Linked DNA regions of Bombyx mori. The protein of the gene in region 2 interacts with the protein of the main gene of each other region in a biochemical or structural test. Links are inferred from orthologs where the notes say so. Each region holds a gene or a part of one and is shown on either strand. Other genes may lie near its edges.

Region 1 (15,866 bases), on a different chromosome or scaffold from region 2:
ACCGACGGGGCTTGATATCATCCGAGTGCGGAGGCCAAAAGTCTGGTCTCGTTGTGGATTTGATACAAATACAAATTTGATATTTTTTTATTGGCCTTTTAGGCAGACGAGCACACGGCCCACCTGATGGTGAGTGGTTACCGTCGTCCATGGACTTCAGCAATGCCAGGGGCAGAGCCAAGCCGCTGCCTACCGATGATTTGATTTGATTTATATTTATATCAGATGGACGGCTGTAACAACTTCCACTTGAGGTGGCTGGATCGGTCCTTGCGAAGTAGGTGAAACGTAGCCGTAATGTTTATACCTTCCGGCTGATGTAAACGATAACGAGTCTCTACTTCGAATGTTAGCTGCATCGCGACAACCAAAGGGATCCAATGGACACAATGGAGCAGAGGCTCTCCACTTGTCCGGTATGGGAGGAGCAGTGTCGTGTCCTTGTCGGTCAAATAGAATCTGACTTTTTGTCAATCATTAGTGTAGTGATGAGTCGTAATAGGACGATACGAGACGGTAGACTCGCAGGAGATGATGAATCGTGACAGAGGCCTCTCCCTCACTATACCCGTTCTGGAGGCAGAAAAAGGGGCTACAACAAACTCTAGTTCCTGTGAGAGGCGGACTCCTTAGGAAATCCGGTTTGGGGCAACCGGCAACCACAAAGCCGCGCCACATAGATTAAAATTAAGCAGTGATCGGCGTAGATAAAAAGAATTTATTGATTTATTAGAGAATCTCAAAATGAATCATTTATAAAATGTTATCAGGTACAGCTTAAAAACATCAATAGTTTATTTTTTTGTTAAAAAAATTTGTAATATTCTCAATCCAATGTTGGTCTTCTAATATATTTACCAACGAAATTATAAGTAAAATGTTCACTACTTTGATTGAGATGTAATACATAACTTGTTCTAATATAATAAGTTATTCCATTAAGTTGATTGATCCAATGTCTTTACGATAATACAAGAAAATCTTGAATTATTTACTTATTTTTTTTTTTTTTTTATTTGCACTGCTTTTGGTTGACTGGTAGAGAATGCTATAGGCATTAAGTCCGCCAATGTATATTTTACATGAAGTGTAATAAATACATAAATAAATCTTATTACAGCTCTCTGTATTAGACAAATCATTGAATTGTTTTACTTGTACCGATTGGTAGACGATATCGACGACCACCTGTTGTTAAGTGGTTATCAGATTTAGACCGCAACACGAATGGCGCTACTCACCTTGAGATTGAAAACTGAAGTCGGAATTGTTAAGTAATAACCGCTATTCAGCCCTCAAAGCTGAATCGCATGATTGCTTCGCGAGAGAAACACACTAGACGGAGGATTTCACCTTAGCGGACCCACAGTCCATTAGAGATTAAACAAAATTCTACCTCTCTGATTTGAATTAAATAATATTATTCCTTAATAGTGAATGCGGTTCGTAAATATGTGTTAACGATATATCTTGGTATTTATATAGAAATATCGGTAATAGCCACATTTTTTTAACTTTGATACAATATGAGTTATTGAAATGAATACCCCAAACCTCCCTTTTTTTTGCTTAGATGGGTGGACAATCTGGTGTTAAGTGGTTACCGAAGCCCTTAGACATCTATAACGTAAATGCCGCCACCCGCCTTGAAATATGAGTTCTAAGGTCTCAGTATAGTCACAACGGCTGCCTTACCCTTCAAACCAAAACGCATTACTGCTTCACGTCAGAAATAGGTAGGGCAGTGGTACCTACCCATGCGGAGTCACAAGAGGTGAACCTTGTGACTCCAGGTACCAGTAAACTTTTTACGACTAAGTGAAAAACTAGCATGGAGGCATTTAAAGTCCATTCGTATTCATTCTATTTTGCTGTAGTAAATTTCGGTATCCCGACAAAGGACAGTAGAACAGTAGGTACTAAAAAACTGTTCCGGACATGAGGTACTTCTAACAGTGCAAAATTTGAAAAAATATACGTAAAAAGTCCAGTATATAGGTTATATAATAAAAAAACAAGATTTCCAACTTCAGCAGCACCAACCTAATAGTATTTGTGCGGTGTGGACGCAGGAAGCACCATACGAGACGAAATCCACCTGAACTCCCAATATAAACCATACGCTTAGTATGATTAGTATTCGTATAGTAGTCAGAATGTAGAAAAAAGAGGTAAAAACTCCAAAAAACAATTGCATGCAGCTCAAATTCAGGTCTCCAAAAGGTATTCTCAAAAAAGTAATCTTTTGGGGAGTTTAACGAAGGAGGGAAGATCTTCCACCGAGCGGGTGATATTGCTCGGTAGACCGACGGTCCAAATGTTGTTGTTCGGAACTTGTATATATGCGCTTTATCTTGAAAATGTCGTAAGCGAGATTCAGGCATCTGTCAATTATCTTGCGTTATATGATGGCTACCCGCCACAATCTCAATACTTAAGTAAAATAATAATAGTATAAGCTTTATTTATATGTTAAAATAGATGTTACTAGAGTCGGTTTATGATTTACATTTTTGTTCCCAGTTCTGCCTTCGACAACGTGAAGAAATCGAAAGTCGCAATTAAGAAAATATCTCCATTCGAACATCAAACGTATTGCCAGAGAACATTACGGGAAATCAAAATTCTAACTCGGTTTAAACACGAAAACGTAAGGAAATATCCGTGTCATTGCTGAATCATTCATTATGGTTCTTTACATTATGCGATTTAAATGGGAATGTTCGTTTACAGATTATCGATATACGAGATATTTTAAGAGCTGAAACTATTGATCAAATGAAAGACGTTTACATCGTTCAATGCTTGATGGAGACCGATCTTTACAAGCTGTTGAAGACCCAGGTACGTTAAAACTATATATCCGAAAGAAATTGCGCAACTAACATACACTAGGGACATTATCAAAGGCCAAAAATTGAGGGCTTTCAATTTTAAGTTAATACGTACTGAAAACTTAAATAACGCATACATTTTAATGGCTAAAAGTGATTGGTGTAAAACTAGATTACACAACTGTACAAAAAAATTCGTTCTTTGTCCTAACGTTTGTTCTAGGTTTATCCGGTTAATTATTCACAAAAACTAAAATAAAATACCTTTTTTTTTGCTATAAAGTTTGCTTTTGTGATAGTTATAGTAATAATAATAATTTTTAATTTTATTTTATAAATTTTAATTAATTTTAATACTTTCAAAAAAACCGCGCTATGAGAGTGGGGTGTTTACGTTTATACAATCGGAAACAACGATCAGGTGTTTTGTACAAGCCCAAAAAAACTTAAAATGTCACGAAAGTGTAAATACGATGCTGATGCGTTTTGTTTCATATTATGTGGTACAATTTATTAAAGTTCAAAAGCAAACTTTTTCATGCCATGTTTTTTTTTTTTTTCGTCTAGTTACGATCTAAAATACCGAAATTTTATGCTTTGCAATCAAAGTCAAATTTGGTGTTGACCCGTGTTATATATTCATATCTGGCTTTATAAAATGATATTTGACTTTAAATAATCGAATGTATTTTTTCATTTGTCTTCTTTGTTACAGAAATTAAGTAACGATCACATCTGCTACTTCCTGTATCAGATCCTTCGAGGACTGAAATATATTCACTCTGCAAACGTCCTCCATAGGGACTTGAAGCCTTCTAATTTACTACTTAATACCACGTGCGATTTGAAGGTAAGAAATTATTCGATTTTGTATGTCACTCGAAACTGTCTCCTTAGTTAATAATAAATTATTGAAATAGCTTTCCTATTATTAGAGAGGAAAAACGAATGTTGTATTTTGTATTCAATGTTGAATGCAATATACATAGTATAAATTCTTCTTCTTCGCAATCGTGTCACTCTTAACAGAGTGGTCGTGATCGTCATGTAGTGTTGGAGTGGGCAGACTTGATGCGTCTCACGATGTCCCGCCATCTCTTCCTCCTCGAGGCCATTCTACTGCACTCATTTAGGGGACCTCTTATTACAGTTTTAATTTGGTCGGTCCACCACATGGGTAACCTCCCGCGCGGTCTTGTGTATATATAAATATTATAGATTATATATATATATATATACATGAAAGTCGTCAAACATCAAAGTCGTAAGTACCTTGAATTCAACCACAAATCTGAATCGTTAAATTTATAAAACGATCGTATGATGGAAAACGTCGTACGAATCTCAAAGTACCCTACAAAAGGGTATATAAATTTGAAATCTTTCGGAAATGGCGCGTCGTGATGACGAAGCCTTGTAATGTCACACGGGATGTATATACGTTGAAGTGACGATCGACGATTTTGCTATAAAACAATCACGATAAGATAAATCTAAATGCTAATTGTGATATTTTTTTAGATTGTTATTTTGAAGCTAAATATACGGAAACGGCGTAATTTGAACTAAATGTTGCCGAACACGAGGTAGCGAGGCGTGACAAAGTACCACGCTAAGTTTTTACGATGTCATTCCGTGTTGTCGATCGATAGCGCTCTAAAGGACTATTTATACGTCTCCAGTGGCTATTTTAATGTTCATAAACGAAGAAATATCACTAAACTAGTACTTTATTGTGAGACGTTTATTGATACCTATGAAAGAAGAACATTGTATTTCATGGTTTTATTTATTGTACGAGAGAGAGAGAGAAAGGGAGCTTAATGCTACTTACATTTGAGTCTATATAGATGATCGGATTATCGAAAATCCTGTATAATGTTATTATACTGTATATAATCCTAATTTCACTTCATGCGAGCTTTGCAACCTCTCGGTCCACTGAGAGGCTTTGGTTCTCTTTGTATTTCGTGCCGTAATATCCACAACGAATACTTTGAGGAATTATTTGAAATGTATGTTTTGCATTCGCACCAATTGCCATTGGGAGTAGAGGTTATCTCTACTGTCCGTGGGCTTTCGGAGATATTTTAGGCTTTGGAGTGAAATTCAGTTGTTTAAAAAAAATATATAAAAATATTATGTAATAGTGGTTTTTGATAAACGAAAAATGAAAACATTATGTAATGTTCATAATAAATAAAATATGCAAGCAAAGTCATATTTTAATGTAAAGATACATCAATAGCAAAAACTCCGTTCGTATACTGAAACGGGAGAACTGAAGCGTTTAAAGAATTCGTTCGGCTTGGCAATAAAATATGTTCAGACTCTAATAAATTTGGATCGCCTATTCATAGATATCATCCAAAGTCATATTGTATAATATTATGGAAGATATCGAAGAGATAGGTATTACATACTTCCTGTCATTGACAAGCTTGAGCCAGGTATTGTGTGCAGATTATAAAAAAAGGAACTAGAAACAAATCTCGCACGGTCAAGTTGCTTTCAGCCTACGCCATAATATAATAGCATATATTAAATAGCTCATAGCACAACAATATCGCACACCATACATTGTTAAGGACATGTTATGTACTATATATTATTGGCTTAGTATACGGCTTACTATAGTATACTATACTACTTACTATTATTATATATTATACTTACTATACTATACTTACTATACGCTATACTATATGGCACTAGATCTAATTATTTAATCGTTTCATAATAATATATAACTTAATACAGGCGATAAACAGTCAAACAGTATTAAAACTGTTCAGAAATAAAGAAGATATACGGGGTGTAATACCAAGCTGTGCAGACAAAACATTAAATTAAATAATAACGTCATTTTCCAAATCCGCCTAAAGAATTCTATAGCCAATACACGTTTTTTCGGAAATGGACAGTGAATCCGCATTCAATCACACGTCAACCGAAAACGTCCTGAATATCGCAATCGTGAATTTGCTGATTTCAATTATTCATCCAAAACAGTTCTTTACATACGACAAACAGACGTAAGCACCAAATGACGTCAATCATGGGCTTAAATTGCAATACGTATTGTCTTTGCTTTGCTTCGATCTATATAAAAACTGCTTCTGTCATTATCATATGGTTGTAAGCTTAACATATGCGGTGGTACCAACTATGTTATAGAGTTACATTCCAAGGTCTTTGTAAAAATTACCCTTTTTTTTTTCTTAGTGTCACACAACTCTAATTTGTATTAAAACATTTTTAAAGGCAGGTTTTTTGATATTGGAAGCAGCAATAAATCTATTTTTTGCTAAAAACTATCAATCTATAAAATGGAAATTTCACATAGAGTGCTTTTAATTTGAGAACACACATATACAAGTGTGTATGTATTTTATTTTATGGAATCAAGCTAGGCCGACTCTATCTAGTAGTTGGTACAAGGGACAAAAAACTATTATATAAAAATAATTTTGGCTTACATTATATATATATTTATTTCCTTATATTTGTAATTCAAAATGTGATTCGATATGGCAGGTTCAGACGCTTAATTCATTTTTCACTGAATATAAAATCGTAGTCTAACTTTGGAGTGCTCACAGTGTACATTAATAAAAGACAGGATTGATAAATCATTCGCATCGATGGTACGTCAGAAAGTTCCGCTATCCTGGATTTTGACTGTCTTGCCAATGTTTTAGCATGTCAGTCGAATTTCAGAAGTAAGGTATCATTATAAACAACAGGCTTATTAAACAATGGTTCCATTTGCCTTCTATTACTATAATAGCTAATAAGCTCAGCACTAAAAAGGTTAAAGTCAGGTCCAGCCAAAAACGATTACGTGACTCCAACGACCAATTCAATTGCGTTTAAATAATCCAAATTTTTATTTTTTATTTTTTATTGCTTAAATGGTTGGACGAGCTCACAGCCCACCGGGTGTTAAGTGGTTACTGGAGCCCATAGACATCTACAACGTAAATGCGCCACTCACCTTGAGATATAAGTTCTAAGGTCTCAGTACAGTTACAACGGCTGCCCCGCCCTTCAAACCGAAATGCATTACTGCTTCACGGCAGAAATGGGGAGGGTGGTGGTACCCACCCACGTGGACTCACAAGAGGTCCTGCCACCAGTAATCCAAATATGCACTAATAGCTACTTAATGTGCACTTAGTATCGATCGTACTAACCTATGTCTAAATACATCGGACGAGTTATTATATTACGAGTAACCTCAATCAAAACAGTAAAAAAAAATATAGCAGTACAGTTCTACTGAGAGTACTATAGACGTTTTACGGTAGATGATTCTAGAAATAAAAAATTCATAGCTTCTTCAGTGTCTTACCAACCGTTAATCCTGAGCAATGTATTACGGCAACGTCGAAACTCCTCGAGATCTCGGCTTTTCGAGTGAAGGGGCTCGTTACAAGTGCTTTTCACGTTTTGGTTCGAGCGGATATACAATTTCTTTGCATATTTTGTTTTTTTAAAACTCGGGTATACTTTAGTGGAAGCTCAGTTATTTTTTCGTTGCTGTTACAATAATAAGTTGTTCTGTTTTTCTTTTGCGAAAACAATAAACAAAAGAATTAAATTCTGATCTAAGTACTCCTATTTTGAATATTCTTAACTTATCTTTTTTTTGTAACTTTTTTTTTATTGCTTAGATGGGTGGACGATCTCACAGCCCACCTGGTGTTAAGTGGTTACTGGACCATAGACATCTACAACGTAAATGCGCCACACACCTTGAGATATAAGTTCTAAGGTCTCAGTACAGTTACAACGGCTGCCCCGCCCTTCAATCCGAAACGCATTACTGCTTCACGGCTGAAATAGGCAGGGTGGTGGTACCCTCCCGCGCGGACTCACAAGAGTCACAAGAGGTCCTACCACACGTAAAAGTACTTCTGATCTACTCCTGTTTTAAATATTTTTAACTTATCGTTTTTCTTTTTGTAACTTAGGATTGCTTTGTTAATTTTTTATTATTGTATTGAACAGATTTGCGACTTCGGTCTGGCGCGAGTTGCGGATCCTGATCACGACCACACCGGTTTCCTCACGGAATACGTAGCCACGCGCTGGTACCGTGCTCCTGAAATCATGCTCAACTCAAAGGTATATAGTCTATAATATTATTATATCGAGAGGTGAAAGGCTATTTGGTTTAAGGGACATTTTTGCAACTTTAAAAGATAGGCATTTAAAATTAAAAATTTGGGAAAAAAATATAACAAAAAACTTCTTCAGCTATTTGATTTAAGGTAAACTTAATTAAAGTTCATTTAAAAACATCGAATTGTTGATGTAATTCCAAATAAAATGAATCTTTAATTACAAAGATAAATGATGTCGCATATTAAGCCAAATGTCGTTCAAACCAAATAGTTTTTTACCACACAATATAGTTCGGCTTGTTGTATCATGATGAAAACTGATAAATAATAATTTTCGAATGAAATGCTGAACGTACTTCGTTTTCTTCTAGTCAAAAATCGCGTTACAAGCTTATAAGAAAGACAAAACGTATGAAAATATCCGTGAATTCGTTTGAAATCCACTTGAACAAATAATTGAGATTACTAGAATGATTTTGAACAGCAAACATTGATAATACACTCACTAAATATGTTATTCGATAACACCGTAATACGTTACTATGTATGTGATATTTATTAAACGCGACGCGTAATGCGCCTGTATCGATGACGAATTGTATTTTTGAATGTTTGTTAAATGAATCATTGTTTTACTTATTAAGGCTAAGCGTAGACAACAATAGATGCTATGGCCCAAATTATTTAAATTTTCTCGCTTATCTATACTATTATCTTGTTACGACGATTTTTAGTTGGAATTCCCTATGTTCAGTGCTGTCGCGAGCGCGGTGGTCAAAGGTAGGCAAAAGATTGCGGGGTACGCGATTATCCGTGTTAAAACAAAAAAAAAACATGCTAATAATATTATAAATAGTATCGATAATCTATTGAAATAATGTTATCTAAACAAATACAAAACGAACACCAAGAACGAAGAATGTCCGATGGTTTCGTCTAAGTAATCTAGACTTTTTATGATTATTCTTAAGTTGGCCGACGCAGTTTTAGCAACGAACATACCACTCCATATACATAAAAAGTAAAAGCAAATAAAGCTCGCATCATAAAACTCAATGCCTCAAGAGACAAAACTGAGAGAATTTACGTTCCGCATAAAAGTCAACCTAAGCTGGAGTAATTTCTGTCCTGGCCCCCAAACTTGGCAAGAATTACACGTATCGTACGCAGAGGTATCTTTACATCGAGGCCCCGAACCTATTTGTTTACAGAAGAATTCGCATTCACATTTCACCTCCGCAATATACTTCACAGTTAAATGTTGAACGTGCCTGTGCGATAAAACACTTGAGGAAAGTAATACGATTTAAATGAAATTCTAAAGGACTTCTTAACTCACCAAATAAGTAGACTTCATTTGCTCTAATTGATTATTAACTTTATATGTTTCTAAAAATATAATAAACACATTCTTAACATGTGAAATATATCCTGAAACTTCCCTTACATATTGGCTTTACGTATTTCATTAGAACATTTTTGGATTCAATACATTCCTGCTATTCTCCTCGTTTAGGATATTTTGGCGTTATTCGCTGCCTCAATGTCAGTGAAGGCCTATAATATATGGAGACAAGAATCTTATCCGTCTGGCGTAATCGAGATCAAGTTTTGAGATGAAACGACAAAACAAAGCCCTAGTCTCTACATAAATTATATAATTTATTATGTTATTATCTGCGGCTTTATTTTGCCTTCTGAATAAACTATGGATGTTTTCAATTCTCCCTCAGAATTTATTACGTATTTAAATTTAATTAAAACAAAATGTCTTTTTCTCTCTCGCGCGATATACCGGGTAGACCTTAATAAAATTTCGTTTTTAAATCTATAGGAGACCGTACAAGCTCACGTATTCATAAATCCACAATTATTAGGTTGGTATTGTAGTCATAAATCTAGTCCCGAACGTTGACACATTTTAGGTACATCTGCTTGGGCGAGTAATGAAATTTTCTGATATAAAACGATTTTTGTTTTAACACAGGGCTATACCAAATCAATAGATATTTGGTCAGTGGGATGTATTTTGGCGGAGATGCTGTCCAACAGACCTATATTCCCGGGCAAGCACTATTTGGATCAATTGAATCACATTTTGGGAGTGCTCGGTTCGCCGAGTCAGGAGGATCTTGATTGCATCATTAACGAAAAGGTAAGCCAGTTGTAATATACCGATGAATTGTGAATGTTTAATATCCGAAGGGCCGAGATTAGTGGAAATTTTGAATTTCCTTTTAAAGTACTTTTGAAACTAATAAAAACTGTTGCATCATATTCAACTCAGTGTTTTACATAATGTTTAACAATTAATTATGTCTAATATTAAAATTTGTTAATATGAATTTTATCTGACTTGAATTTTTTGAATGATATAGTTTAGTATTTAGTATAATTCGACGTCGTCCAACGGTCATTACGAATCCTCTCGATCCATTAACAGTGCTTTTAGGTAAAACAAGCACCGGTCACCGTCCTCGTCGAACCCGTCGCTTGCGACGAAGGGCTCGACGAGCGAATTAACCCATAGACGCAGCCCACTGAATTTCTCGCCGGATCTTCTCAGTGGGTCGCGTTTCCGATCCGGTGGTAGATTCTGCGAAGCATTGCTCTTGCTAGGGTCAGTGTTAGCATCACTCGGGCTTGAGCCCCGTGAGCTCACCTACTAGTTAAGGTTACGCTGAAATAGCCTCCCAAGGCTATCATCAGCTTAGGTAAGAAAAAGAAAAATAGTATTATTTTAATTTAGAGACTATATTATTTATGAAGAATTTGCTCATTGTAATTACAAAGGTTGAACCATCTGTTTTTTTATTCCTTTGTCATTCTAAAAACTACACAGCCCGAGGCTACTACCATTACAGACATCCACTTTATTACATACAAAGGAAAATCCATTTTGATATCTGAGATCGCATCATATCATCTGTTCAACTATCCTGAAAATGATAGTCTACTGTTAATTATATATAGACTTATCGACAGTTACTATTAAAAAACTCGTTCGACGTATAGACAATTGAATCTACACCTCTCATTATACTCTGTAGGCTTTATTGCATCCTTTTGTCTGTATGTTTAGTGATTTCGTTTCTTATAAAGAGTGAATTCATTTCATACCACGTGGTAACTAATATAATAAGAGTGTGGGTGGGATAGTGTGAGTTTAAAAGTCTTTAATTCTTTTTTTCGGTATTTATTGAAAGAAATTTCGAATTTTCTGGTTATTCTGTTTAATTATTTTATTCAGGATAAAATATATTATAAATGGATTCTTTCGTGAAGTGGCGACTTGAATCGCACGTAATGATGTAAACTCTTCGTTTTTGTGCTCTTTTTCTAAGAGCCTAAGGGTTTTCTTGAGTTGACTTGGTTGAATAAGATACGTATTTAGACCGCGAATCAAATGAGTCCTTTAAAGGAGGGTCATTAAGAGTCTATGTCCCATTAAACTCTCAATACTGTTGAGCTGCATCTTAGTTTACCTTAATATGTGAGTGACACTTTGTCTGCCTATTCGATATTGTTTCGAGGTTTAGTTAATGCTTTGTACACGGTACTACTACGGGAAGTTTTGAAATCTAGTTGTTTTGCTATAATATGTAATCTTTTTATCTATCGGCTTATTCAGAACGTTGTAGGTAACATATTTATGCAATCGCAATGGGCTTTTGATACTGTTATATTAATTTTTTGATGTTGACTAGCAACATACATATTTTTTAATTAAACGTAATCATACGTTAACAACAAAATAAAATTGTTGCTAAAAGTAATGTGACGATGATGTTGAAAGAAATTTTCTGTAAATAGTCTTCGATTCAACATATTTGTTACAATACTTACAAATTAAGTGCTTTACAAAATTACTAAGGTTCTAACAATAACAGCTTTATAATATTATATTCAATTTTATTACTCTCGGGATTGCTCGATGTAAAATCAGCACAACAAAGACGTAAACGGAATGTTTTTAATTTTCCTTTTAAATCGACTTCGTCTATTATACGCAGCGTCGCGAGTGGAAAAGTTTTCATACCGCTTTTGTATAATTTTGGGCCTGAAATTTGCCGCATTAATTAACCTCATCAAAAATTCAATTATAATTGAATATGGCAATTCCGAAAAGGGCACATGTCGCATATTTTGTCAAATACGTTTTTTCATATACATGTAGTTTTGAGGCTTACTTACACCCATTTTATAATAATTCCAGTAATTTTCAATTACTAATTAACACTAAGATATATCTCAAAAGTTAATATTTTAAATTTTACACTGCTTTGAAAATAATCAGATATTTTTTTTCATTTCCTGAACATTTTACATTTTCAGAGATGTGCCCTTTTCGAAATTGCATATTCAATTATAAAAGACTAGCGACCCGCCCTCGCTAAGCTTCGGAAACTATAATTTATTATTGATTTCTCCACTATTTAATGGATGTTATTATACATATAAACCTTCCTCTTCAATCACTATCTATTAAAAAAAACTGCATCAAAATCCGTTGCGTAGTTTTAAAGATTTAAGCATACATAGAGACAGACAGATATAGGGACAGAGAAAGCGACTTTGTTTTATACTATGTATTGATTTACGAATGTTTGCGTTTGCTCCTAATGTTTAGCCCAAAATGTTGTTTGCTGTTCAATCAGGCTCGTGGTTACTTGGAGTCGTTGCCGTTCAAGCCTCGCGTGCCGTGGGTGGACCTCTTCCCCGGAGCGGACCCTCGCGCCTTGGACCTGCTCCATCGCATGCTGACTTTCAACCCTCACAAACGCATCACGGTCGAGGAAGCCCTAGCCCATCCGTACCTCGAGCAGTACTACGACCCGAATGATGAGGTATGTAATAAACGTTGTTTTCATAGACGCTTGTTTTGAATTGGATTCTACTATTATTGCTTATGGATTTGACATTGACCAATTCAAAACATCGAAGAAGTGCGTTTGGCCTTATGACCGAAAGTAATAAGATTTGACAACAATAAGACAAGACATGTCTTCGGCCTTACGATCAAGAACAATGAAGACGTGGCTTCGGCCTTTAAAACTACCAAAATTTTCCAATTATTACCAAAAACAAGACCTGGCTGTATGGACTAAAGTCCTTGGCCTTTCCCATTAGGGATAAATTAATATCATCATCATTGTTTTGAATTGTACGTTGCATTTTGAGTTGCACATGCATGCAGTGACTATGGTGTGTATGGTCGCAGACGCGGTGATTTTATCCCTTAGTACCAAAATATTTGCGAAGCAATCATGCTGAATTCATGCATGAATTGGAACACGATTATCCCATACTAGTAAATACTTATGCAATTAATTACAATCTTAAGTGAAATTCGTTTATTTATTGTATTATTATAATTCGATGAAAAGTAAATTTAACAATTTTATGTTCTATAAATAAAAACGAAAGCAAACAGGTGGCATACGATTGTAATTAAATGAAAAAAAAAAGAAAATATTTGAGAAAAAAAAAAAAAAAAAATGCCCGCTGTGTTTGTTTCGCCGGTTCTTCTCAAGACTGTGGCTTTTTTTGGAACCGGTGGTAGAGTTAACATTTTCATTTATATTTTACCATTCAACTAGTGTGTTTTTGATGACATCCAAGTTGAAATAAATGGTTTTGAATTTGAATTTGTATTTCAAAAGTTATATGAAAATCGATGTAAGTTAACAAAAAAAAAAGGTTTCACTAATAATAGGAACGAATGTCTTCTAGTAGCACGCAAATTTACGTAATACGTTTTAAACACTTTTTAATTAAATGCAAGCTTTTGCGTTCGGTGAAAAATTATGCACGGTCCTTGAAAGGGGGCTTCAGAATGAAGCTACGGCGGTGTAATTAAGGCTTTAAGGCAAAGCATTACTGCGGGGCTTAGTGCTCGGGCACCTGAATACGTTCACTTAAAACGAGACTTATGATTAGACTAGAGTCACTAGACTCATGTTTATGTAAAACCGGCCAAGACATACAACCGAAATTTTATACGTAATAAGTCGTACATGTACTGTATTTGAGCGGGTTCTTCACTAAGAATGCTTAGGAGCAGACAATTCGGTCTACCCTTTTGTAGAGATATACGATACAGGGAATATCTTCAACCGAGCGGGTGATATTGCTCGGCAGACCGACGGTCCTGGTGCGCTGATGATGAAGTGTGAAGGCTGCAGTTGTTCCGTCGCAGGTCACCAGTTTGGGGAGCTTAAACGACGAAAGGAATATCTTCCACCGAGCGGGTGATATTTGCTCGGTAGACCGACGCGACGGTCTGAATGTTTTTTTTTTATTTTTATGATTGATAGTTTACTGGTGGCCCGAAGGCCTTTCCAGTTTCACCAGGACAGGTGGGCGAGCAAAGACTCAGCCAAGAGGGGCGGGATTTGCTAACAACTGCCCGAGCGCCTTCGAAGGAGACCTAACAACTCAAGAGCAATTGCTTCGCGAATGAATCTACTACCGGATCGGAATCGCGACCCGCTGAGAAGATCCGGCGAGAAACTCAGCGAGCTGATTCATGGGTTAGGTTGCACGGCGAACTCTTTGTCGAGTTCGACGAGTACGGTTACCGAGGTCCCTAAGCCTGCTCCTAGTGTTAGAGCTGAAGGCGTCTAATGCACCCGCCACACCCCTTTCTAGTACTGGTGTTAACATTGACACTTTACACAAATCGATGACTTGTAACGTGACTTTTTGGCGGGAACCCGAGGAGCGAAATTGTGTGTGTTGAACTTGTTTTATTTTGTCTATTTAGTATTTCTTCAGGTTGAAATATGTGGTGGTTTATTAACTAAACTCTAAAACACTAAAAACTGTGGAAAAATGAATCAAAGCCACTTGACGTAGCTCCTTGAGATCCACTGAAAAAGTCTCAGTAAATAACCACAATTTTACTGAGATTATATTTCATCTCATATCATCTCATCTCATTTCATTTCATTTAATTTCATGCCAATTGATTAAGCTTCCCTCATTTTTCCCTCATTCATAAACTGTAAATAATTAAAACGGCGAATTATAAAAATCTTATTACTTGACGCTGGCTAATGCACAAACCGTGCTGGAGCCAAAAAAGTATAGAACAATAAGAAGACTTCTAACGTCCTACCCTCTTTCTTCAGTATACCCATGATGGCGCTTGCAATAGCGCCGCTATATCGGGAATTCATTAAATATGAGTCTTAATAATAAACCGTTGAATAATACTGTGTGTAATGCAGATAGCCGGAAAAACTTAAAACAATTCACAACAGTCTTGATGCAACTACCGTAAACAAATCTCATTTGGCCTGGGGTGGGCAATTGCAGAAAATTAATTTCAAATTGAAAAATAACAGGAGACACCCCTGTTACTGTATTTCGTATTGATATTAAATTAAGGTTTGAAGTCGTTCTGATGAAATATCTATTATTGACATTCTCGTATATTTCTCGTATTCTATTCTTGATTTTTATACTTGGATGTTTCTATTTGCATGCGACTACAACGTTCAAGGACTTCATTCGTTTGAAGGAACACAAAGTTGTGTTTTTACAATTCAATTTCTTTGGCTTATTCCTTATTGGCTATCCATGTAATAATATTGAGCGATATATTGAGCGTTGTATGGAACTGTTAAATTTGTCTAGCGTATTTTCTTTTAACAACAAATAACAAGAAACTAACAACAAATAATACGTGTATACTTTGTTAGCCCAACAATAATTAAAATTGAATATTATGCAATTTCGAAAAGGGCACATCTCTAAAAATGTAAAATGTTCAGGAAATGATAAAATCTGATTATTTTCTAAAGCAGTGTAAAATTTAAAATATTAGCTTTTGAGATATATTTTAGTGTTAATTAGCAATTGAAAATTACTGGAATTATTATAAAATGGGTGTAAGTAA
Region 2 (16,632 bases):
GAAAATTTTGTATATGCGATAATGTTTGGAAATTTCCATTAATAAAGAATACTTACTTTTTCAGGGATTGGTTCTATCTCTGCAAAAATTGTTTTCCAGTAAGACCAGACGAACATTATTAGGAGTATGTGGTACAGCACCAAATAAATCCATTGTTGGACTGTGCTTTGTATTGTAACTGTAATATAATTAAGTCTAATGATTTACTATTAATTAAGTGTAAAGTTGGTAATAGTCTTAAACACTTACAAATACAGAGTTGAATAACGTAGGCATAGTATGACCAAGTTATTATAGACACTATGAATGACACTGGAAGCCATTTGAATCCTTTCCAACACCACATGTTGCACGTTCGACAACAGGCACAATAACCAGGTGATGAAATCCTACTATTCTGTACTGATGAAGCCATTTCGATTACATTAATAAATCAAATTGAAAATAATCCATGTTCACCTAAAAAAGAGACAATAAAAAGTGACGACACTGACGGTTGACTGAGTGACATTTCCATTTTGTAAAACGTCAATTTAATCTTTGCATAGAATATAAAAATATAAGTTAATTGGGATGCCATTGCAACGGCTGCCTTACCCTTCAAACCAAAAACCATTACTGCTTCACGGCAGAAATAGGCAGGGTGGTGGTATCTACCCGCGCGGACTCACAAGAGGTCCTACCACCTTACTAGTGGAGGACCTCTTGTGAGTCCATCCATATTAGTGTTATTAATGTGAGAGTATTTCTTTGTTATATTTTCACATCAAATAACTCTGAATTGTTTGGGGTCAGGAATTCGCACTACTTTTTCCTACGTGATGGTGACGATAGGCTGAGTGTTTTAGTGTTAGTTTAGCCTTTAAGATCTTCGCCAACAGAGTCCTACATATCCTGTGCACCCGCTGACGCAGGAAACTTGTAGGAGAATCATACCCCAGCTTGAAAAAAATATCTCTGTTACCGTCAAATTTTAAAGCACATTTCTTATCCACTACTTTTTCCTGCAAACTAATTCAATAATTTGCGATTCCATATTCAGATTTATAAGAGATGGCGGCACTGGTTCTTAATACCAAATCCAGGATAGATTTTATTGTAATGCAGCATGTAGGTAGTAGATCGTAATTTTATAGCATATATGACGCATGACGTATTAAAATGTAATATATACTTCTTACTTGTTCTTACCAGTTCTTACTTGAAACTATCAGTCATAAGTTGATGTCATTGTCAATCTGTTTTATTATCGTTTTTTAGTGTTTTTGTCAATGTATCTAATGTAACTAAAATAAATTTTACTGTTAATTTTAGCTTATTAAGACCTTATTCATTAAAGGTTTCTCCTATTAAAGCGATTTTTACTATTTAATAATTCTTAAAAAGGTAAGTATTATTATATTATATTTAATTTCTGTAAATTTATTTGCGTGTATTATTTTACGCCGTACGTGAATGTTTTTGAATATTTCAGGAAGTTTTAGATTTTGTTCTCAAAATAAAGTTATAAGAAAAAATGTAACGGGTTTTTGTACACATCAAAAATAGCGTATAACTATTTTAGCGATATGGTTTTAAGGTTTTTTACTTCAAAACTCATTATGAAAGAATCACGATGAAATACACTGATACATAATAGTCGAATAATTGGCATTGATGATGGATATTGGCTATAAACCGAGCACCACTAGATCTTGACCAGTCCTGGTGAAACTGGAAAGGCCTCCGGGCCACCAGTAATCCTTCAATCATAAAAAAAAAAATCTTGACCATAGTGCCAAGTACCTATCTATTAACTTATGTGTATTATTATATGGACTTTTTGGCGGGAAAGCGAGGTGTCAAGTTGTGCGATTTGTTTTATTTTGTCTATTTAGTGTTTCTTCAGGCTTAAATGTGTAATAATGGTGGTTTATTAACTGTTTAGTATTTGTGAAAGTGCACAAATGTGGGAAAATGAAACAAAGCCGTTGGACGTAACTTCTCGGGATCCTCCAAAAAGTCCACTGAAAAAATCTCAGTAAACGACCACCATTTTAATGAGATTATATTTCATCCCATATCATCTCATCTCATTTCATTTAATTGCATCCCAGTTGATTAATGTCTCAAATTCTTCATTTTATTTCACTCCATATTAACATGTTTCATTAAAGTATCCCATATAATATAATCTCATTTCATTTATATTTTTATTTATTTCATGCCATGCCATGTTTCATATTAAATTAATCAGCTTCATTTCATTTCATAATATCATATTTCATAAAAAATATATATATAAAAGATTAGGCAGTATGGTGTAATACTTTTGTCTTTCCATTTGGAAAAATAAAACTACTACTACGACTATCTATGGTATTAACAAAAAAAATATTTATGGTATTATCTATGCCGATGGCCAAATTGTTTAGTTTGTCGAACTTCTTTGGTTTCGAAATTCAAACAGAAATTTCATTTTGATAACGTTCAATACTTACTACCTATCTTGAAACAAAATAATGGAAGTCAAAGAATGCAACGATTTGGACGAAGAAGTAATAATAGTCATTTGTGTGTATTAGTTGGTAAATATTGATTCAACAAACTTACCAACATGGTGTATTTCAGAACCAATTCATTGTCGACGACGTGAGTAAAATAATTAAAGAAGCTATAGAAAATTCAATTGGAGGCACTGCTTATCAACACAACAATGTCAACCAATGGACTTCAGCAGTTGTTGAGTCATGTCTGGGGCAGTTGACTAAGTTACAAAAACCATACAAATATGTAGGTACGTGCGTTGAGAATCTAGATTATTTTAAGTAACACAGCATGCATAAAATAAAAAATCATTTATTTTAGGGTCCCTTGTATAAGCTCTCTTAGCAAAAATAAAAAACAATGTTTAAAATTGTATTTTTTTATTGCAAATGAACCTTGAATTATGGAGTTTGCAAGACTCATTTGCATGACTTTTGGAGCTATCACACTGGAATTAATGCTTGCTTTTATTGTGATAGCTAATCTGACCATCAGGAAGAGAGAGACTTATTACATCATTAATAAAGTAATAGCTTAAGGAGAGTGGAGCAGTATACTTGCATCTTTTATGCTATAATTGAACAAACTGTTATTTAGAATTTTCCAGTATTTTGTACAGCATTTAATAATTCAAATTGAAATACATAATTACAAAATTGTAATATTAATGCCTTAAAGGAGCACTATTTGTCGATTTAGTATTAGTTATACATATTTCATTATATATGTATGTGTATAATGAAATATGTATATGTTATTTATGTGTGTAATTGTGTATGTATATAGTCTGATATATTATATATTAGTTTTTTTATATTATTGTTGTTATTGTGTATTGTATCAATAAGTAAATTGATTAGATTGTACTCTTCTACCCACTTATGTAAAGCTCTCCCTCTTTAAGAACGGTTAGCTGGTAGATAAATCAATTGTTTAGTTAGGCTCGCCATTTTATAACTTTTCGCAATTATTGTATAGTATTAATTGTATGTACAATAAACACTAAAAGTATTTACACTATTTGGAGTAATTTGGAAGACTGGCTTCTAAAATGTTGAGCATCTATAAGGAGCTAATTGAACTTCAAATCTCCACAAAAGCTTATAAAGCACAATTCTTTTTTTTTTATTGCCCTTGTAGGCAGATGATCATACGACCCACCTAATGGCGAGTGGTTACCGTAGCCCGTCGATTTTAGCAATGCTAGGGGCAGAGCCAAGTCGCTGCTTATCATTAAGTATTCTCCACAAGATTCGTTTGAAGAGGAGCTCATTCAAAGCTGGATAGTACGTGGCCATAAAGAGCTGGAAACGCACTGTGGATGATGCTGCGATTCCAGGTAGAATGGATGGCTGTGCCCCTGGCATTGCTGATGTCTATCAGTGATATTGTTCACTATCATGTGGGCCGTGTGATTGTTTGCCCACAAAGGCATTAAAAATTTAGAGAATTACCAATACACAAATATATTGGTAATTTGAATAAATGAATTTTCTATTTTATAAGATAAAAGTTAAACCTCTAATGAAGAAAAGCTAAAATGTGTAAATTTACTTTTATCCAATATTTGCTTGTTTTTTACAGTGACCTGCACAATACTGCAGAAGAATGGTGCAGGACTGCATACAAGTTCTTCTTGTTATTGGGATAACACTACTGATGGCTCATGCACGGTCCGTTGGGAGAATAAAACTATGTACTGCATTGTCTCAGTCTTTGGGCTTGGCATATAACATGGATTTATTATATTCATTTACTGGCTTAAAATCTCTTTTATAATACTAATAAAGCAAATTTTTAGTATACTGATAACATAATTATCAAATCTGTATGTTTTATTATGAACTCTTATGTTTCAATTAATAAATAAAGCTTTTATTTTACACTAAATGGAAAAGTATGCTATGTCATTTTCCAGTATATATGCATAGAGAAATAAAGTGTTAATAAACAGATAAGTTTGTTCATTTATGGACAAAAACTTTGGGAGAACAAAGAACTTTGTACCTAAACAACAAAACCTAAGAAAGTAAAAACTGGTTTCATTGAATCTTCGATTTGATGTATATAATTTGTATGCGTTTTCTTGGATGTAGTCTTGTTTTGCATTCCACTGAATATAAATACTGAAAATTCTATTCAAAAGTACAAATTGTGTAAGAGGGAAATTGGAGCATGGTGGTCTCTTACGAAATATATTTTGAGGCTGTTAATTTTACTAGAAAAATCTCAGATTATCTAATAAAAGGCTTCTGTTAGGGCACAACATTGTCACATACATTTATCAGGAAAAGAGATTTCACTTCGAGATGTTTAGGTGCCGAACATGAGGAGTATTGGTTATATTGAGGTGTGTTTGATTACAGGAGCTTTCTGAGAAGGCCCATTGAGCGATTATAAAGAAACCAGTATCATGCGTGATTCCATAAAGAAAACGTTGATCTGAATTTTTTTATATTGCTGAATGAATATAAAACACTATCAGCTTCTTTTTTTTTACTTTTATTGCATAAATGAGTGAACGAGTTGACGACCCACAGTTGCTCACTTTGTAATAAAATTGAGGTCTTAAAATTTTTGTTGACACGAGTAGGTACCTACCTACTTTAGAACAGTGCCGTTACATTTAACATATTATTATGGAACGTTTACCTAACATTGGTAACCCATCAGAAACCCACGGTAGATACGTTCCTACAAACTCCGATGTTATGCAAAACTCGTGTTATTTAAGATAAGATGACTACAAAAAGGAGAGGATTTTTCTAAATAAAACATTCTATACCTGTATATATATTTTAATCTATTATACATAAAAAATAAGCTTACTGTAATTTTCTAAATAATTTTAAATAGAAGTCTCATTATATAATATTGGGTATTGGGGATTTTTTTTTCCGTAAAATACCTACCTTGCGATATCTGGGTTACCTGTACCTCCTGTCTTCTTACAAATTAAATGAAAGGTACCTATATAGCGTTTCGTAGCAAAAAAAACCGGCTGATTGAAATATATACTCATCAGTGCTTTCTTGCACTATTTTATACCAATGAACAAGGCCTGATCTCATGGAAGAAAACTAAACTTTTTTATGCCCTAAATATTTTACAAGTACTGTTCACCGTTCCTAAATACTGAATTGAAATAAAAACGTGGTCCCTATTCAAGATCCTCCATCGTTCTGTTCGAAAAGTGGCAAGACAATGTTCAATGAACTGACAAAATACAATTGTATAAAATTTTACAATAATTATCAGAAAAACAGTTAATAATACTGCATTGTATGCAGAGCATAGTAACTTACTATTTGTGTAGATTGAGCATTGTAAACCAAACAAAACGTAGGAAAGGTATCATGAAAAAATCATGAAGAAATAAAATTACCGATCGAAGGTGATCATCAAATGATGACTTCGTTTATTTAACGATGAGCAGCAAAACCGGCTTTCCAGAATCTCAATACAAAGTAATTTAAATGACGGGTTCCACAATATTCACAACTACATAGTGTAGTCTAGATCTAGTGAATCATATCTAGTGTAATTAACATTACGTAATAGATTTTTTGTGGGTATGTTCCCGGAGATAAAATTTTACTTAAATCATGAATTTTTTCAAACGTTCCCGCTAAAGCTCCTTGGCATATTTGTATCACGTGACCATCATCGATCCAATGGTTGAACGCTTCTCGGGTCCATTCAACTCAACTTTGCGAGCTCCGTGGAGTGGCGTGGAGAGGGCAACTTCACAATTCCGATTCTATTCATAAAAGGAAATGTTTTTATATTGCTGTCTCTCTTACTCATGTAAAAAATTGTAGTGTTTGAGTGAAGTAGCAATATGTTTGATTGGAAATTATTGAAAGCTGGGCCAGGCAGGCCACTTCAGACCAGTCGCCATGTAAATTTTTTTGATGTGGGTGTTGTGTCTCGGCACGTCAAATGCTTCAATGAATTTTATTATTCTCAAAAGAACATTGATTTCGTGTAAATCGTTATATTATTTGTAAATTCGTGCTCATTCTTAGTCCATATTGTGAACAGTGAAACATATTGTGTTGTGATTGTGTACCATCTAATCTGGTGACGGCGGGTAATAGATTGGAGGGGGAGCTGCTAAAATACTACGATAGGATAGTAGAGACGTTTTACTACTCGGGAAGTCGGGAGCGCTAAGCGCTTACAAAATTTCTCATCTCGACGCGAGCGATTACGGTCTTCCATTTTGTTTTAATATGCAGTTTGGTTGTTTACGGTGTGCATCGTGTACAGAGCAATTGCAAGCCACGGTGAGTACTCGGTGAAGTGTTCGCATTGTAAATACGTTGTCTGCGCATGTAGGCCTTACATGACAATAAACATGCAACAATGAATAAGTAATAGTTTGGTAATAGTATTCGATTTTGTGCACCGCACGGCGCAGTCGTGGTAGATGGGTTGCGGCACGTCATTATTTAGGAGAAGCACCCCCGCGGGTATGCTCAGTGGTACGTAAACATCGTTCATCAAACACAAGGTGAATTAATTTTGTATCATTTTAAATTGTAGTTGATAATCATGCGGTGATACTGTGAAGTGTAAATTTAATAAACACGTTACAAGTCTCATTTTAGTAATCTATCAGTATTATTATCAGCTGATTACTCTAAGCGGCCGTCCGCAAACGTCAATGTTATGTATTCAATCACAGGCTACTTGAATACTAGAGTACATCTAGAATAAAATTCTCTTGTGTGGATATTGATCTTGCCTAGGTGAGTACACGACTTTTGTAACTTGTGTATTTACCTAATCATTGCATATACAGGTGTCAATAATTTTAATTACAATATTTCTAAATTGGTTTTATAATTAATTTTATTAGCTCAAAAAACAGTAGTAGTTTAATCTAAAATAAATAAATTCTAAAAATAAAACTAACCTTAAGAATTCTAAAGCTTAAAAGTACTTTAATCTAAAGCATTTTCTTAAAGCATCTTAGAAGAGTATTATTGTTTTTTGGTATTGTGTAATTTCTATGAAAATAATGAAATAAAACTAAAACCTTCATCACTCAATAATAAGTTAGTCTAATGTTCTAAATGATATTAAATAAAAAATTTGATTGATTTTGAAATTTACATAATATGCACATTGAGATTACAAGATTTGTCTTCAATAACAGTTGTCTTTAGTGATAAACAAAAAAAAATCCAGTAATTCAACTCAGACCTTAGTCGAATGTACTGAAAACTTCCTTTTCATCTATTTGCTGTGACTTAAATATTGTCTTAAACTAGCTAGCACAATTTACCTTCAATTTCAATGGTGTCAATGGAGGTAGGACCTCATGTGAGTCCACACAGACGGGTACCATCACCCCGCCCAGTTCTGCCGTGAAGCAGTAATGCATTTTGGTTTGAAGGGCTGGGCAGCCATTGTCACTATATTGAAACCATAGAACTTATATCTCAAGCTAGGTGGCGCATTTATGTTGTAAATGTCTAGGGGCTCCAGTATCCACTTAACACCAGGTGGGCTGTGAGCTCGTCCACACATCTAAGCAATAAAAAAAAAACTTATAATCAGAAATTTGATAATGTAGAAAACGAGAGTCATCCTCTTTTGTTATATGAAATCTGGAAAAACTGCTCAGAAAAGAATGAGTATATCAATTTTCTCTAAAAACAAATACAGACTAATGGAGAATATTCAAATTTGAAATCATAGTTTTTTTATTAATAATATTGACGCTTGAAAGGCAAACGTGACTAAGCGACAATGCATGAACTTTACAGTAGACTAATTTAAAGTTGAAATACCTGATAACAAATTTTATTTTCACGAATCTAGCTGTAGTAGAATCTAGCTAGTAGGATTGAAATGATTTTAATAGACCTAGAAATATATATTTTTTGCGCATCGAATATGGTTATTGCCTATCATTTATGTACAAAGCAGTTATTGTCGCTAAGTCACGTTTGCCTTTCAAGCGTCGATATGATTTAAGTAAAATTTTAATAGAAAAATGTATAGAAAGTGTTGGAGTATACCTGTTCACATTACACATAATAATACACATTAGATATACTTAGTATTTCAAAATTTCTCAAGATATTTATTTATAATTGACATACTTAATTTTGAAAACGATGGTTGTTTTAGCAAAAATATTTATAAACATGGTAACCAGTGCTTATCAGTCCATAGACATCATAACTTGAATGCCAATGCTAATAGATTATTTTGTATTATCAGAAAATGCATCATATTTTCCTTTAAAATAATATTAGAACAATCTTATTGCTTACCTAGTGAATTTTAGGATAAACTAGAGTCCCAATAAATTTTTATTAACCTGAAACATTTTAGTAAATACAAGGCATTTGATTATTGTTTAAGATCCTTCTAGGCTTTTACTTTTGTAATTCTCTACCTAACTACTCAGGAGATCTCATGGACTACCTGGTATCAAGGTATTCAAAGGTCTTAAGTGGATCTTAATCTTCATAGCTAAGCTATTAATTATGTAAAACACATTTGCACCATTTGACAGCTAATAACTTGCTTGTCTTAAAAAAGTCATATGCTTTTATATAAAAACAAGTAAATAAAAAATTACATTGATTAAGTATAATTACACATTTCTGCCAAATCTCTCTTCTCTTCTTCGTCGCTTCCTCATTACTGAGGGTCGTGACCACCTTGATCTAGTTTTTGCACCAGCTGCCTCCAATGTTGCCAAATACTTTAATTTTAATATTATATTTTTTCCATTCAATTTCGTAATATAGAAAAAATATATTTCATGCCTTATGTGTCATAATATTTATAAAAAAATGGCAAATACCACCAATAGTTTTTTTTTTAAATGCATTCAAATTCTGTAAAGTTTATGATTGTGAAGAAACGCAACGAGGGTCTTCCAATGATGCACTTTAGTTTGAATCAGAATTAATCATTACAAAAGTGAAAGCTACCTGAGATTCCACAAATAATATTCTTCCCGTGGTGTGATGGACCAGTCTGTGCCTGTTCACAATATCACATAATATTTATTTATTTAGACACACCAACAGCAATACACACAAAACATTCAAGCTTAAAATTAACATGTATAAAATTAAGTACTGGTATGTAAGCCAGTTACAGGCATGTACAGCAATCTCTTATAACACACTATGTATGACATGTTACAGCAATTTTACAAACAGCGGAAAAATAGGCTAAATTTAAATGTTAACAGTATGACAAAAAAAGGAATATTTGAAAATAACATGAAAACAAGAGTTAACTACTTAACATTCTCTCATCAACTATAAACAAAGGAACTTGGATACTAGTTTGTTTTTGAGACCAGGACACGTGTCGTTAAAAATGTCAATGCCGTCAATTAAAATTCTACAAATGATGTGAAAGACACATCATTTGTAGAACGAATTTATGTTCCAAAGAAAAGTGAGCTTGTATTGAGAAAATACCGACGCCATTTAGGCGGGCTTCGGACAGCCTGCCGACAGAGAGCTGGTGGTCGTGGCGCTGACGATCGCTGGCCAGGCGTGCCGAGGGCGAGGGTGATGGGAGAGATGTGCTCCGCACTTAACGCTTCACGCTAAACGTCTCATGCGAGGCTCGGACGTGGGTTGTTGAGCGACAGGTTTTAGTCGGTTCGACTCCGACCTACCCCGCCCGCCATCCCCAGTGGAGGCTGGAAGTCCGGCAATTTCCTCCTGACCAAAAAAAATACATATTTCTCGCCCTTTTAGATTTTAGCAAACAACACGGATTTTCATGGATTGTTTGGAAGCTCTGGATCTATGGAGGGACTTTGGTTCTCTCTGTTTTCTATTGTATGTTCCGTGGCGAGTGCTAAGGAATTGTTTGAGATGATTGCACCATCTAATTTACACTGCCGCATCGCTCGCCACCGGAATAGATTTCATACATACTACTCATCATTTGTAGAACCGATCGGTACCTTGGTGCCGTGAAGTTCATGCTTCGGTCCTAATAACCGCAAGGTTGGTGGGACCATGGGAGGTGGTGGAAATGTCCCTACTCATCAATTGAGTGCCTTTTAAGAAATCTTTTCTGCCACGAACCTTTCGGTCTTGTATGAATTCCCCACCAAAGTGCTTCAAACTAGGCTTGCGGAGAGAGTACTCAGTAGTACAGAGTAGGTAGGTCTCTACCCTTGGCAATGCTGACGTCAATAAGTGACGGTAATCACTCACCATCAGGTGGGGCGTATGCTCGTCTGCCCACAAGGGATTTTTTTTTACAATAAATAGAATTTTATTAAAATTGAATAGTATATTGCAATAGGTGAATTAAAACATTCCTTAACCTCCAGTGTATAAGAGCGATGCAAATTTTTATTTTAACTATAACAAAATTTCAGTTTGAAATGTAGCGTAATGGGATAAACGTTATACAACGTGAGCGTCGAATTATCTGTCCAATAGTTCTAGTACTTCCGGTCGGTTAAAAATAACAAAAGAGGATATATTCGGTTTAGTGATTCGAACTAAATCTGATCTATTTCTGAATATAAAGTACTGAATAATCCGTCGGTCGATGATTAATACATACACAGTTGTAATTGATTTACGGAATTATATTAATGCAGTTGAAGTATTTTTTTTCCAGTTACAATAATAATTATCGTTAGATATATATATTTTTTGCAGTTATAATTATCGTTAGATATTTTTTTTTTGCAGTTATAATTATCGTGAAATATTTTTTGTATGTTTTTATTTTCATTACATCTCATTGTCACATTGAAACTGTTAGATTAAAACAAATTTGTTAATGCGATGTGCTTGCAATTTAGAATACCAATTTATATTAGTATCATAGTGCACACATTAAAATAAGATTAAATTTAGGATACACTAATACAGAGACAAACAGACGAAAATACTGTTGTTTTATTTTTAACGTATATACTACAGAGCATGTTCATGTCCATAATATATGTAATTAGATAGGTATCTTCTTTTATAAAAATAAAAATCGATGTCTGTTTGACTCGATATAAAAACGTAAATTAAGTAAATGAAAATCTGAGGTATAAAAAGTTTTAACTCACCATCAGCTTTTGTTTATTTCTGGATTTTATGTTTTTTCCTTTAGGCGCTCTGAAATAGTCATAGTGCCACAACAAACTATAGTTCGCTGGTTCGTAGTTTAAAAAAAATTATCGACGTTTTACATCTACTGGTGGTAGGACCTCTTGTGAGTCCGCACGGGTAGGTACCACCGCTCCGCCTATTTCTGCCGTGAAGCAGTAATACGTTTCGGTTTGAAGGGTGGAGCAGCCGTTGTAACTATACTGAGACTTTAGAACTTATATCTCAAGGTGGGCGGCGGCATTTACGTCGTAGATGTCTATGGGCTCCAGTAACCACTTAACACCAGGTGGGCTGTGAGCTCGTCCACTCAACTAAACAATAAAAAAAACCGGCACAGATATTAATAAAATAAATTAGGTCTTATTATAATTGACATAAAATAGATGCTCGTATTTTAATAAAACGTGTGTCACCACGACAATCGTAAAGTATTTGAAGTTTCGGAAGTTTCGGTAATAATATGTAGTTAATAAGGAACACGAGATTAAACCGTAAAAGTAGTTTTAGTTCGTGACTTCGACTCTGGAAACCTAAGAAAATAGTAAAGATTACAATAAAAAATGAACTTTGCTTGGGCATGTAAAGACGATAATGATAGATAGATATGTTATTAAGCATTTTTTTATTATGATCCGCGCATGGTTCCGCATATTTATTTTAAGAAATAGAAGTTCGGGGACAAAAATGACATTGTGTGAACTCCATTACTTAATTGGGATTAGATATCGTCAAACAAGATTTATGAATATCAATATTAAATTGAATCATCGTGACACGTCATGAATGCTTTCATTGCTATTTGATGTTTAAAATGGCCAATAGTAGAGCCGCTTTTTATCTTACGATAGATACAATCGAGCACGAAGTATGTGGCGAGACGTGCCCAGAATACATTAGCACGTAGCACCATCAAAAAGCTGGTGTTTTATGACACGGTTCGTCATTTCTGACCTACGACCACAGTCCACAGTATGATAAAACATTTCTTGTACATATTTTGGTGTTTGAAATTCGTAACATTTTTTTAACGGATGATTTAATTTTTCTTACAATTCTAGTATTATAAGCTTAATAGTTAATGTTAAATTTGTTTGGTATTTTAAAATTAATAAAATGTCTCATCATTGTGTTTGGATACGCCGCTTTTAAACGTTATAATCAGTGAGCACTGATCAGATACGTCTTATAGTGTAATTACTTTCGACTTTTGTTTCTTGTTCAAGTTTATTTTTATTGGCATAGTAGTCGTGTCAACGCCATACATGGTGTTAAGCGGAGACCTTAGAAGTACGTGAACGCCGGCCTCCTCTAGATATGAATTCGATGTTTGTACTGAATTGGAATAACGATTATTCTAATCCTCAAATCGAAACATTTGTGACTTTTGTGATGGAAATAGGACGGTAGTACGGATACGTGCAGCGTAACGAAATGCCGCAAAAATGTAAATATTGTGGGCTTGAATTTGTTACGCGATTTATTCCTTGTTCGGTGAAGTCCTCAAGGAATACATATTTTGTTTTATTAAGAGATTCTGATACACACAAGATAAAACCTTTTTTTGTATTGTTTTATTTTCCGAATAATTAATTTTCATTTAGCCAATACTGATAATAACTGTTTTAATACATATTTGTTGAAAATTATTGTTTTCAAACCAATCTTCCCAGTTAGTTTGCACGTCAGGACGGCTTTGTGGTGTAAAAAAACATTTATGATAAAACCTATAATGTTTGAATATTGTTTGAAATATTTTTCAATGCTAGCTGTATTTAATAAAAAAACTGTAAGCGATGATATTGAAGTCTGAAGTAGACGACGGGCTCTAAGTACTTATCCTTTCAACACTTTTTGTTCCTTTGTACCCAGACTGCGAGAGCGAGACAGTCACGAGAGAATCCGTTCCCGCCAACATTAAAATCCCCTCTTAGAACAAAGAACAAGCCTCTTATCACCGAACATTGTGTTCACGGCTTTATTTCAAACTTTGTGCCGATGTTATTTTGAGCTATTAATTAATACTGTTTGAATATTGATCAAGCATACTATTTGTTGGTTATTTATAATTTAAGATTTTATTTTATTAACGGCCGTCTGGTGTTTAACGGCCGTCTGGTGTAGTGGTAAGTGACATGGTCACTACATAAGGGGGTCGCGGGTTCGAATCCCGGCAAGGGAAGATATTTGTATGATAAATATAAATGTCTTTTCCAGGGTTATGGATGTATATTAAAAATATGTATGTGTATAATAAAAATCTTACATTTATTTCCGTTATCTGGTACCCGTAACACAAGTTCTTTACGAACTTATCACGGGACCAGTTAACGTGGCGTGATTGTTAGTAAATATTTATTTTATTTATTTATTAATGGGCCGTTTCATTTGTATTTGTCGAGATCGTAAGGTCCAATCTGTTTTTGAAGGTCCTTGTTTATTTAGTCTACCTATGGAGTGTAGTTTACTGGTTGCCATTGTTAATAGACAGACACTACAAGGCGAACGCCGACGCCCGTTTGAGGCATGAGATTGAAGTCCCATGGGTATGACGGTGAACTTTCAATTCGGATCGTTTAGTGTGCTTAGTGCGCCCCTAGCGGCAAACCTAGGCAAACGTTCCAACTCCATACAAATTTGAGTTAACTTTTACGCTATCGAGAACGTTAAAAAAACTCGCACTCAGCACACTGATCGCACTATTGTTCGCGACAGAAATATGTGTAGTATAATAATATGTACTAGTGGTCCCGCAGTAGTCGAAATTTGACTATAATTAATTGGAATTGTAAGTTTGTACACTATTATGATTATATTTTATACTTCTATAATCACAAATTTCACCAAGGCTACACTATAAAAAAATATTAATTAACGACAAACAATATTTAATCTATTCTCAATTTGACCACAGACGTCAAGAACAAAACTTTGACAATAAATAGTATGCATGCGTGTGTGCGTCAAATACATGGTATGTAGTGTGTGTAATGTTTTCTTTATTGATTTAATGTATTTTTTATGCATTATTTAAAAAAAAAATTAGCATTGTGCACTTCTTCTTTATATTCTCTATAAGTGTAGAAAATTTCATACTAAGGTAAAAGCACTAATGCTAGACACTTTAAGGACAAATCAAACTTCATTCTCAGGTATCAAATGTATTTATCAAAAATTATATTAAATCTTTTTTTTTACTGTTAGAGCAACATTTAGAGATCAATTTTTTCATATAAAATATTTCAATACTGTTGTAGTTTCTACAAAAAATTACAAACTTGTTAGTTTTGCCATAGACACTAAAAGATGACAGCATCGAAAATCAAATCCACCAAAAATTGACATCAGTTGGCACTAATAATAGACACGACTTTAACGTTAGTTTTATTATAAACAATTATAATCAATCTTAAGATCATCAACTATTTTCTTAACGCTATCTTGTAAATTATCTTTTCCTATTGGAAACCCTTGTTTGACCATAGCTTTTACCCATGTTACGAGTATTTTTTCTATATATTCGGTTAAATAACAACTTCTTCCCATTTTACGCATAATAGGTGTCTTTCCCTCGACTTTATTTAATAAAGTTACTCGTGGAACTCCAAATTTCTTTGCCGCAGTAGCTGTCGGAACGCCCCGCCTCATACCCTGGACCAGGAAGGTCAAGTACTTGGGAGTCACCCTGGATGCATCCATGACATTCCGCCCACATATAAAATCAGTCCGCGACCGTGCCGCTTTTATTCTCGGCAGACTCTACCCCATGATCTGTAAGCGGAGTAAAATGTCCCTTCGGAACAAGGTGACACTTTACAAAGCTTACATAAGGCCGGTCATGACTTACGCGAGTGTGGTGTTTGCTCACGCGGCCCGCACGCACATAGACACCCTCCAATCCCTACAATCTCGTTTTTGCAGGTTAACAGTCGGAGCCCCGTGGTTCGTGAGGAACGTCGACTTACACGACGACTTGGACCTCGAACCGATCAGAAAATACATGAAGTCCGCGTCGGAACGTTACTTCGATAAGGCAATGCGTCATGATAATCGCTTTATCGTTGCCGCCGCTGATTACTCCCCGAATCCTGACAACGCAGGAGCCAGTCACCGTCGTTGCCCTAGACACCTCCTTACGGATCCATCGGATCCAATAACCCTTGCATTAGACGCCTTCCGCTTTAACACTAGGAGTAGAGATCACGGTAATCGTACTCGTCGAACTCGGCAAAGAGTTCGACGTGCAACCTAACCTAAGCATCAGCCCGTTGAGTTTCTCGCCGGATCTTCTCAGCGGGTCGCCATCCCGATCCGGTAGTAGATTCATTCGCGAAGCACCTACTCTTGAGTTGTTAGGTCTCCCTTGGAGGCGCTCGGGTAGCTGTTAGCAAATCCCGCCCCTTCTGTCCATGTGAAACTGGAAAGGCTTCAGAGCCACCAGTAAACCCTCAAACATATACATTCTTTTATGGCTTCTTCAATATTGGCTTCAGAGTATTGAAACATCTGACCCTTTACTGGCGGCATCGTGCTCGAAACTGAAGCTGAAATTAATTGATACTAATAGTTGACATCTAGTATACCCTAATAGTTGACACTGTCTTCGTTTAGTTAGACTAGTGTAAAATGAACGAAACTCAGATTGAAACTTTTGTTTTACAACATAAAGGCTGAATTTGAAGAAAATTAAGCTAACAAATTCAGTTCGATGTAACCCTAGTAGAAGACACACGTGTCATCTTTTAGGTTTTGATTCATTTTTGGTACTAATAGTAAACACCACTTAAAATTTGTACAAAAACAAACCAAAATAACAAGGAAATGGTCCTAATAAATCAATAATTTCATACATTTATAATATCGAAACCAACAGTAGCCAAGAATTATAGATATAAGACAAAATCATACCTGTTAAAAGTAAGATGGCTTAAGGAAAACGCTAAGAATTACGCGCAAAACGTCAACCTGCTCATATTGTTTGTTGTCAACTGAT

Evidence for each region.
Region 1: the proteins of putative transcription factor capicua (region 2) and Erk form a complex in vitro, tested with the Drosophila melanogaster proteins (2 studies listed by BioGRID). The link is inferred for Bombyx mori from reciprocal best matches to the Drosophila melanogaster genes cic and rl.

The regions. Positions count from the first base shown.
Region 1 is NC_085116.1:4,091,637-4,107,502, forward strand, and holds part of Erk (extracellular regulated MAP kinase), read left to right. Parts: intron 1-2,523; coding exon 2,524-2,650; intron 2,651-2,733; coding exon 2,734-2,844; intron 2,845-3,549; coding exon 3,550-3,684; intron 3,685-7,847; coding exon 7,848-7,964; intron 7,965-9,950; coding exon 9,951-10,118; intron 10,119-12,621; coding exon 12,622-12,810; intron 12,811-15,866. UniProt on the Drosophila melanogaster protein: Serine/threonine kinase which acts as an essential component of the MAP kinase signal transduction pathway to regulate proliferation, differentiation and effect cell fate decisions in various tissues.
Region 2 is NC_085113.1:8,152,347-8,168,978, forward strand, and holds the start of putative transcription factor capicua, read left to right. Parts: upstream 1-5,921; 5' UTR 5,922-6,815; intron 6,816-16,632. Other genes in the region: palmitoyltransferase ZDHHC2, read right to left, coding at 57-178, 250-415; dynein molecular motor protein light chain 1, read left to right, coding at 2,502-2,537, 2,611-2,776, 4,111-4,259. UniProt on the Drosophila melanogaster protein: Transcriptional repressor required for the specification of numerous cell types during embryonic development. Required for terminal patterning of early embryos.